Linked DNA regions of Caenorhabditis elegans. The protein of the gene in region 1 interacts with the protein of each later gene in a biochemical or structural test. Each region holds a gene or a part of one and is shown on either strand. Other genes may lie near its edges. The genes, in order: pgl-3 and let-363.

What was found.
Region 2: of the proteins of pgl-3 (region 1) and let-363, one has a biochemical effect on the other in vitro, tested with the Caenorhabditis elegans proteins (one study listed by BioGRID).

Annotation. Positions count from the first base shown.
Region 1 is NC_003283.11:4,754,010-4,757,928, forward strand, and holds the start of pgl-3 (Guanyl-specific ribonuclease pgl-3), read left to right. Parts: upstream 1-1,975; 5' UTR 1,976-2,000; coding exon 2,001-2,117; intron 2,118-2,163; coding exon 2,164-2,310; coding exon of another isoform or gene 2,311-2,314; intron 2,315-2,355; coding exon 2,356-2,714; intron 2,715-2,761; coding exon 2,762-3,102; intron 3,103-3,148; coding exon 3,149-3,291; intron 3,292-3,341; coding exon 3,342-3,513; intron 3,514-3,556; coding exon 3,557-3,919. Other genes in the region: hil-4 (Histone H1.4), read left to right, coding at 344-622, 809-1,291. UniProt on the Caenorhabditis elegans protein: Guanyl-specific endoribonuclease which cleaves the phosphodiester bond in single-stranded RNA between the 3'-guanylic residue and the 5'-OH residue of adjacent nucleotide, resulting in the formation of a corresponding 2',3'-cyclic phosphate intermediate.
Region 2 is NC_003279.8:5,243,967-5,247,885, forward strand, and holds the start of let-363 (Target of rapamycin homolog), read left to right. Parts: upstream 1-1,776; 5' UTR 1,777-1,814; coding exon 1,815-1,937; intron 1,938-1,992; coding exon 1,993-2,093; intron 2,094-2,146; coding exon 2,147-2,441; intron 2,442-2,485; coding exon 2,486-2,815; intron 2,816-2,864; coding exon 2,865-3,076; intron 3,077-3,120; coding exon 3,121-3,181; intron 3,182-3,231; coding exon 3,232-3,404; intron 3,405-3,543; coding exon 3,544-3,657; intron 3,658-3,703; coding exon 3,704-3,919. Other genes in the region: mrpl-47 (Large ribosomal subunit protein uL29m), read left to right, coding at 427-521, 576-740, 791-896, 940-1,061, 1,110-1,326. UniProt on the Caenorhabditis elegans protein: Serine/threonine-protein kinase that regulates the mRNA translation machinery, probably by modulating the activity of translation factors such as eIF-4G and eIF-2. It may have some protein kinase activity instead of lipid kinase activity.

The DNA.
Region 1 (3,919 bases):
TGCTATTTAAATGACGATTTGAATGGTAAATGTCCAACTGAAAAATCTCTCAGAACTTTAAATGCCTGTATTTATATCAATTCGAGAGTAATTTCTATCGATTGTTGGCTTAATTTGTTGCTAAACTATTCATCTTTAAGATTCTGAAAAGAAAATTCAATTTCATAAAGAACCGAGAAAGTTATGCGTGATTTAGTCAAGTGCCCTCAAGTTTCGCGCCATTTCGCATTCGGCGCCAAACAAGATGTGTCCCGACAGGGTGGTAGAGCGCGAGTATATAAGGATGGCGCGCGCTCATTTCTCACACTCACTCTCCAAGTGACCACTACTCATCCGTTCAACAATGTCTGACGTCGCCGTTGCCGCCGACACCACCGAAACTCCAGCAGCCCCAACGAAAGCTTCAAAAGCTACGAAGGCTTCAAAAGCTACGAAGGCTTCAAAAGCTACGAAGGCCAAGACTACCAAGGTGCCAATGGTCAAGGCCGATGCCGCCCATCCACCATTCATCAATATGGTCACCGAAGCCATCAGCAGCATCAAGGACCGCAAAGGACCTTCCAGAGCCGCAATTCTCAAGTATATCACTACAAAATACACGCTTGGAGATCAGGCTAACAAGGTATGTGTTTTATTTAAAGCAGAAAAGCTAAATTCAAATCAATTTTTCTGAAAAATTTTGACCAGGTTTTTGATTACAATAACTTCATTTTTAACCTAAAAATTCTTAAAATAATAAATTGCCGAACAGAAAAGCAGAAAAAAAACTATGTAGAGATGACGTTCCCTAAATTTACCTTTCTTTCAGATCAACGCTCACCTCCGCAAAGCTCTTAACAAGGGGCTTGAAAGTAACGCCTTCGTCCAGGCTAGCGGAAATGGAGCCAACGGACGGTTCCGTCTTGCCGAGAAGACAGCCTCCGTGGCCAAGTCGCCAGCTGCAGCAAAGAAGGACGCCACTGGAGAGAAGAAGGCTACGACGACCGTCGCCAAGAAGGCCGCCACTGGAGAGAAGAAGGCTACGACGACCGTCGCCAAGAAGGCCGCCACTGGAGAGAAGAAGGCTACGACGACCGTCGCCAAGAAGGCCGCCGCTGGAGACAAGGCCAAGAAGACTGAAGTCAAGGTGAAGAAGGTCAAGTCGCCGAAGAAGATCGCCAAGTCTCCAGTCAACAAGGTCACCAAGTCTCCAGTCAAGAAGATCGCCAAGTCTTCATCCATGAAAGCCGCTCCAAAGAAGGCCGCTGCCAAGCCAGCCAAGAAAGCTCCCGCCGCCGCCCCAGAGGCCTAATCACATTGTGTGAATAATCAAATTAATTTCGATCTCACCATTGTATTATATCTCTCCCTCTTGTAGGTGTCCCAGATACTGGTTTTTTTGCATCTAATCATTATTTATTGTTCCTTTGACAAACCAATTCCTATCAATGAACCAATTACTGCATAAAGTTTCAGCGTTTTCTCGTCTTTTCAAAACCTTTCAGATTTTCGGAACAGTGTTCACAGCGGGAAAAGATAGATAAAGTCCCGGAACATCTAGCAGACAGTCTTCTTCACCGTTTGGAAATTTTTGTTGTTTTCCTTCTGGAAAAATTGTATATCAAGTTCATTCGACTGATCAAGCTCGATTTCTTAAAATACACAACTTATCGGCTTAACTTGCAATTTTTGCAATATTCAGATCTTTTTTCAAATAAAGCAACAAATTCTGTTTAAATTTACTCGCAATATTTCGAATTCGGTAATGAAAAGTACTTTCAGAGAACTTTCTAGATTTTTTTTTGAAAAACTGATTTAATTTTTAAAGGCGCACGCCTTTTCCCACGCGATGGGTCCCGACTGGAAAAGCCTCCACGAACTTTTCGATGATTTAGAAGTCAATTTTTTTAAAAAGTTTTTTGTGTGTTTTTGCTCGAAGTTTCTTATTTTCAATCATCATTTGGTGAATTTAAACATTTTACACGTAAAATTTCAGTGTTATTCGTGATTAAAAAGTTCACATGGAAGCAAACAAACGACAAATTGTGGAGGTCGATGGGATTAAGTCCTACTTTTTCCCCCATCTCGCCCATTACCTCGCGAGCAATGACGAGCTGTTGGTCAACAACATAGCACAGGTTTGACTGTAACTATTGGGATTTTTGTTAAATATTCTTCTTACAGGCGAACAAGCTTGCAGCTTTCGTCTTGGGAGCCACCGACAAACGCCCAAGCAATGAAGAAATTGCGGAGATGATCCTGCCAAATGACTCCAGTGCCTACGTGCTTGCTGCTGGCATGGACGTTTGCCTTATTCTCGGGGATGACTTCGTTGGTTTAATTCCGAAATGTTCTTGTATTAATAATTCATTTCAGCGACCAAAGTTCGATTCTGGCGCTGAGAAGCTGAGTCAGCTTGGACAAGCTCATGATTTGGCTCCAATCATCGATGATGAAAAGAAAATCTCGATGCTCGCCCGAAAAACAAAGCTAAAGAAGTCGAATGACGCCAAGATTCTGCAAGTCTTGCTCAAAGTTCTCGGTGCGGAAGAAGCGGAAGAGAAGTTTGTCGAGCTCTCGGAACTGTCGAGCGCCTTGGATCTTGATTTCGACGTCTATGTCTTGGCAAAACTGCTTGGATTTGCATCGGAGGAGCTCCAGGAAGAAATTGAAATCATCCGTGACAACGTCACAGATGCGTTTGAGGCCTGCAAGCCGTTGTTGAAGAAGCTGATGTAGGTTATCATGATTTAATGTTGTGTGTCTCAGGAGTGTTTTTCAGGATCGAGGGACCGAAGATTGATTCTGTGGACCCATTCACCCAACTTCTGTTAACTCCACAAGAAGAATCTATCGAAAAAGCTGTATCCCACATCGTTGCTCGCTTCGAAGAAGCCAGCGCCGTCGAGGATGATGAATCACTCGTCCTGAAATCTCAGCTAGGATATCAATTGATTTTCCTCGTCGTTCGCTCACTTGCTGATGGAAAGCGTGATGCTTCCAGGACAATCCAATCGTTGATGCCGTCGAGTGTCCGAGCGGAAGTGTTTCCCGGATTGCAACGGAGTGTTTTCAAAAGTGCCGTGTTCCTCGCAAGCCATATCATTCAAGTCTTTTTGGGATGTTAGTTACAAAGATTGCAAACTTCTTTGAACAGTTTCTTTTTCAGCCATGAAGTCATTCGAGGATTGGGCGTTTGTTGGCCTCGCTGAAGACTTGGAGAGCACGTGGAGAAGAAGAGCAATCGCTGAATTGCTGAAAAAGTTCAGAATCTCTGTTCTCGAGCAGTGCTTTTCTCAACCAATCCCACTGGTAAAATTATTCCTTCACGTGAACTTATAATCAATATTTTCCTTTTTCAGCTCCCTCAAAGCGAGTTGAACAACGAAACTGTCATCGAGAATGTGAATAATGCTCTCCAATTTGCATTGTGGATCACAGAGTTCTACGGATCGGAGAGTGAGAAGAAATCACTCAATCAGCTTCAATTCCTAAGCCCAAAATCCAAGAATCTTCTTGTTGATAGCTTCAAAAGTAAGCAAAAAGGCTTCTTATTTTAATCGAATAAATTTTACAGAGTTCGCCCAAGGACTGGATTCTAAAGATCACGTGAATCGTATCATTGAATCTCTGGAGAAGAGCAGTTCGTCGGAACCTTCTGCAACTGCAAAACAGACCACAACTTCCAATGGACCGACCACCGTCTCTACTGCAGCTCAAGTAGTAACTGTTGAAAAGATGCCATTCAGTCGTCAAACGATTCCATGTGAAGGAACAGACTTGGCGAATGTGCTCAATTCTGCAAAGATCATCGGAGAAAGTGTTACCGTGGCTGCCCATGATGTCATTCCGGAGAAACTAAATGCGGAGAAGAATGACAATACTCCATCAACTGCCTCACCTGTTCAATTTTCTAGCGATGGTTGGGATTCTCCGACAA
Region 2 (3,919 bases), on another chromosome or scaffold:
CGCTTTCAAAATTTAATAACAAAATTTTTCTAGGTGCCAGAAGCTTCCAGTTTAATCAAAAAAACTGACCTCCAGGCATATAAATGACCGCATTTATTTATTGGGAGATTAACTAAGTTTTCATAATTTCAAAAATTAATATCTGACTTAAAATGAACTTTTTTGTCGAAGAATTTTTTCAAGAAATAATTACTTGAAGTTAATTCAATGTTTTACTGAAAACCCATGTTAAAAGTATTAAAACTTGCTATTGAAATTTTATCTAGAAAAAACTATTTTTTGAATTACCTCTGCTATGGGGGAGGCAATTGTGCGGTGGAGCGCACTTGCCGCCCATTTATTATTTTTTGGCAGCAAGGTTTTCTCCAAAATATTCTATTTTTTAATGTTTTCTTTTGTTTTTATTGAATATTTTGCTCTTTATATATGCAAAATTTTGATTTTACCAATTTTCATTCTTTGAGGTTCTTCAAATCTACAATGTGGCGTAGTTTACCGAGTTTGGTGTCTTCGGCTGTTCGGTTAGTTGATAAATCGAAGTTTGTTGAATTCCAGTTAATTTTTGCTTCTTTTAGATCACAAAATGCCGTCAACACACGATTTTCCAGTACAATGAAACAATTTTTCGATGATGAAGCGAATTTTGGAAAAGCAGAGCTCCGCCCGAAACATCGGCCGGGCAGATCGTGGACAGCAGAAGAACTGAGATTAAAAAGCAATTCAGATTTGCATAAGCTTTGGTAATTTAATGGCAATTCGGTTTTAAATTTATTAAAAATTTAAATTTAAGGTATGTGTGCTTGAAGGAGCGAAATATGCTGATAACGATGAAAAAAGCGCACACTTCACGTGCCCGGAACATGCCAAACCCAGAGAGACTTGATCGTGTTCATGAGGTATATTTTAAAAATTTAATAAATGCAAAATGATATATTTCAGACAATGGATCGTATAGAATCAGTAGTTCACGAGCGAAATGATGCGGTCTTCCGTTTGGAAACTGGAGAATCCGCGGCTCCACGCAAGAGAACAATCACTTCATTCGCTGGATTTACATATCAGTGAGTTCCTGATAAAATTAATTTTTTTAAAATAAAAATATGTTCCAGAAAACAAGCCACAGAACACTTTGCACCACCTCAACTCGGCCAGAAAGAATACGAAACTCCATATCTCGACGACGATGCCTACGTGATGCAGAAGCTTTGGCAGGAAAAAGAATTCATGAAAAATCGAGATAGATTGGATGATGAGAAGAGACGAGCGGCACGAACAGAAGACATGGACAGATTCAAGAGAGGAGCTCCACGAGTTTTCAATCGATAAAAAGTTGTTTCTAGATATTTTTTTTGTTTTCGAGTAGGCTTTTAAAAATGTTGTTTGCTTTGCTTCCTTCCTCAGTTTATTTAGTTTTTCAAAGAATATCCATTGTTCTTTTTTCTTGATATTTTGAAATATGCAACGGGTTTTGTCAGCCCATAGTTATCTGATATTACAAAAGGCTCCGTGTTGTTCTCATATTTTTCATTGAAAATCCCTTGATTTACATAGGAAAAAAAACCTAATTTTTAGCTGAAAAAAATTTAAAAAGTGGTAAAAAATTACCTGAAAGTTGTCTATTATCGAACTATCAAGCTATATTTTTCTGAAAACGGCCAGTTTTGAGCACTTTCTTGATTATTTCAGCTGGAAATAATTTTATTTTCGGAAAAAAACCAGTGATTTTCTATGCTTCTGATCATTCTCATAACTTTTTATTCTTAACGTAATTTTAAGCCCACAATGCACTAAATCGGCAGAAACATCTTTGAAAAATGCTCCAACAACACGGAATTAGTTTTCAAATGAATGCCGATAGACAGAACAAAGCAGCCACAACTTCCAATCGAATAGTCTCCGCTCCAGCTACAAATGAATTTGACGAGCGGCATCGTAAAGTTAGTATTTCTTCTCCTTTAAACAATTTTTAAGGAAAAAAAAATCATATTTCAGCAAGGGATTGATGCTGCAAGAGCTCTTGCTTCACAATATCGGAGCCGAATTACGGAAAATAGAGATGCAAATCAACGACAGGCTGCTCGAGAACTCAGCAGGTAGTTTTTTTTTTAAATAAAAGTCAATAAATTAAATATATTATTTTCCTCAGATATGTTCGAAGTGAGCTGAAAGACGAGCCAAATACTTTTAGTGATGCTTTCCTGAATGCAATCGATGGACGAACAGATATAGCCTCTCAGAGTGCAATTTATAATTGTATGAAGTCGAATTCAAATATCGATCAGAAACGAGCCGGTATCTATCTCATCGTGTGCTTAGCTGAAACTCATTCTGGAAATGTTATTCGATATGCGAATTATCTTCTGAAAATGTTAAATAATGGAAATGGATTAGATGAAGATACAGTCAAGATGGCTTCAAAAGCTCTCGCTTTTCTGATTGCGGTAAGTAATTTAATTTTTTTTAAACCAATTTTAAACATTTGCAGACTTGTAAATCATACGCGGCCGAGCTGGTTGATCGTTGTCTTGATCATTGCCACGAATGGCTTGGTCAAAATGTTCCACATAGTCAGCAACCCAAAAATCAACAGGAAATTGATCAAATTCGTCGACTCGCCGCTTCACACCTCTCTCGTGAGCTCGCACTGGCCACACCGACAGCATTCTTTCTTCGTGTAAACTTATTTTTCAAGTATATCTTCAACGCTGTCAGAGACAAGAATCCAGCTGTAAGAATCGCCGGAATTGATGCATTACACGTGGTTTTGACAATTGTTTCACAGCGTGAAGCAAAGAATAAAACTGAGTGGTTTAAGGTGATCAATTAAAATTTTGATCTTTCGTTAGAATGATTTTATATTCCAGAAATGTTTCGATGAAGCACTGGAAGGTCAACCAAACCCATCGCAAAAGGACGATTTGGATAGATGGCATGCCGTCGCCCTGATTCTCAATGAACTTCTTCGAATTTCTGATCAACGATTCGAACTCATCAGATGTGAATCCTCACAGTTTATTAAACAAAAGTTTTTGAAAGAAGACGAAGAAGAAGGTGTTGAATGGCTTGTCCTAACTAAGTAATCGATTCTTTTTCATCTATTTAAAAACTTGTATTTTTAAGGCAACAAACTATTGTGGAAAGTGTGACTGCTCGAAAGCTGGTTTTGGAACGATTTCCGAAGGTAAAAGCTGAAATTCTTCATTTCCCGAAATTTGTTATGTTTTTTTCCAGATACTCGATTGTGTTCGTCAGATAATACCTCTCGCAAACAAAACTTCATCCACGAAACAGCAAAGCTCGATTTACCTGAATACAGTTCTCATGCAGCTTCTACCAAGAATTTGTGCATTTCCACAATGTGATCGAACTTTTCAAACAATCTCATTCGACACTTCATTTACTATGTACGTAGAATGGAAGAGGACTGATGTTTATGGGCTTTTAGCTTTTATAGACTCGAAATGCGCTAAAAACGAATTTTGTAACGAGACTCAAAAAAAATTATGGTGATTCAAAATTTCCAATAATGTTCAATTTTTTCAGTCTTCAAAGAAATGCGGTCGCTGCTCCAGCAATCGGAATGATGATGCTCTCGAATCCAGATGTACATGCCACACATATCGAGAAAACAATCAGTTTTATCTCTGCTGCTATCAAGTAAATTTGAAATTAGTACACTTTTTTTAATAGTTAAATTTTGTAGAAAAACGACGAATTCTGATGTTCTCGATAATTATTTCACATTCCTGTTCCTATTTGTGGATGCTTATCACGAACAAGTGACGACACAAATCAAGGCAATAATTCCACAATTAATGGATATTACCCTGTCTCGATCGCTGGCAAACGTGCTAAAAATGATTATGATGAGAATTCCGAAACTGCGGCTGAATGTTCAAGATGGTGTTATGGCTTCTGT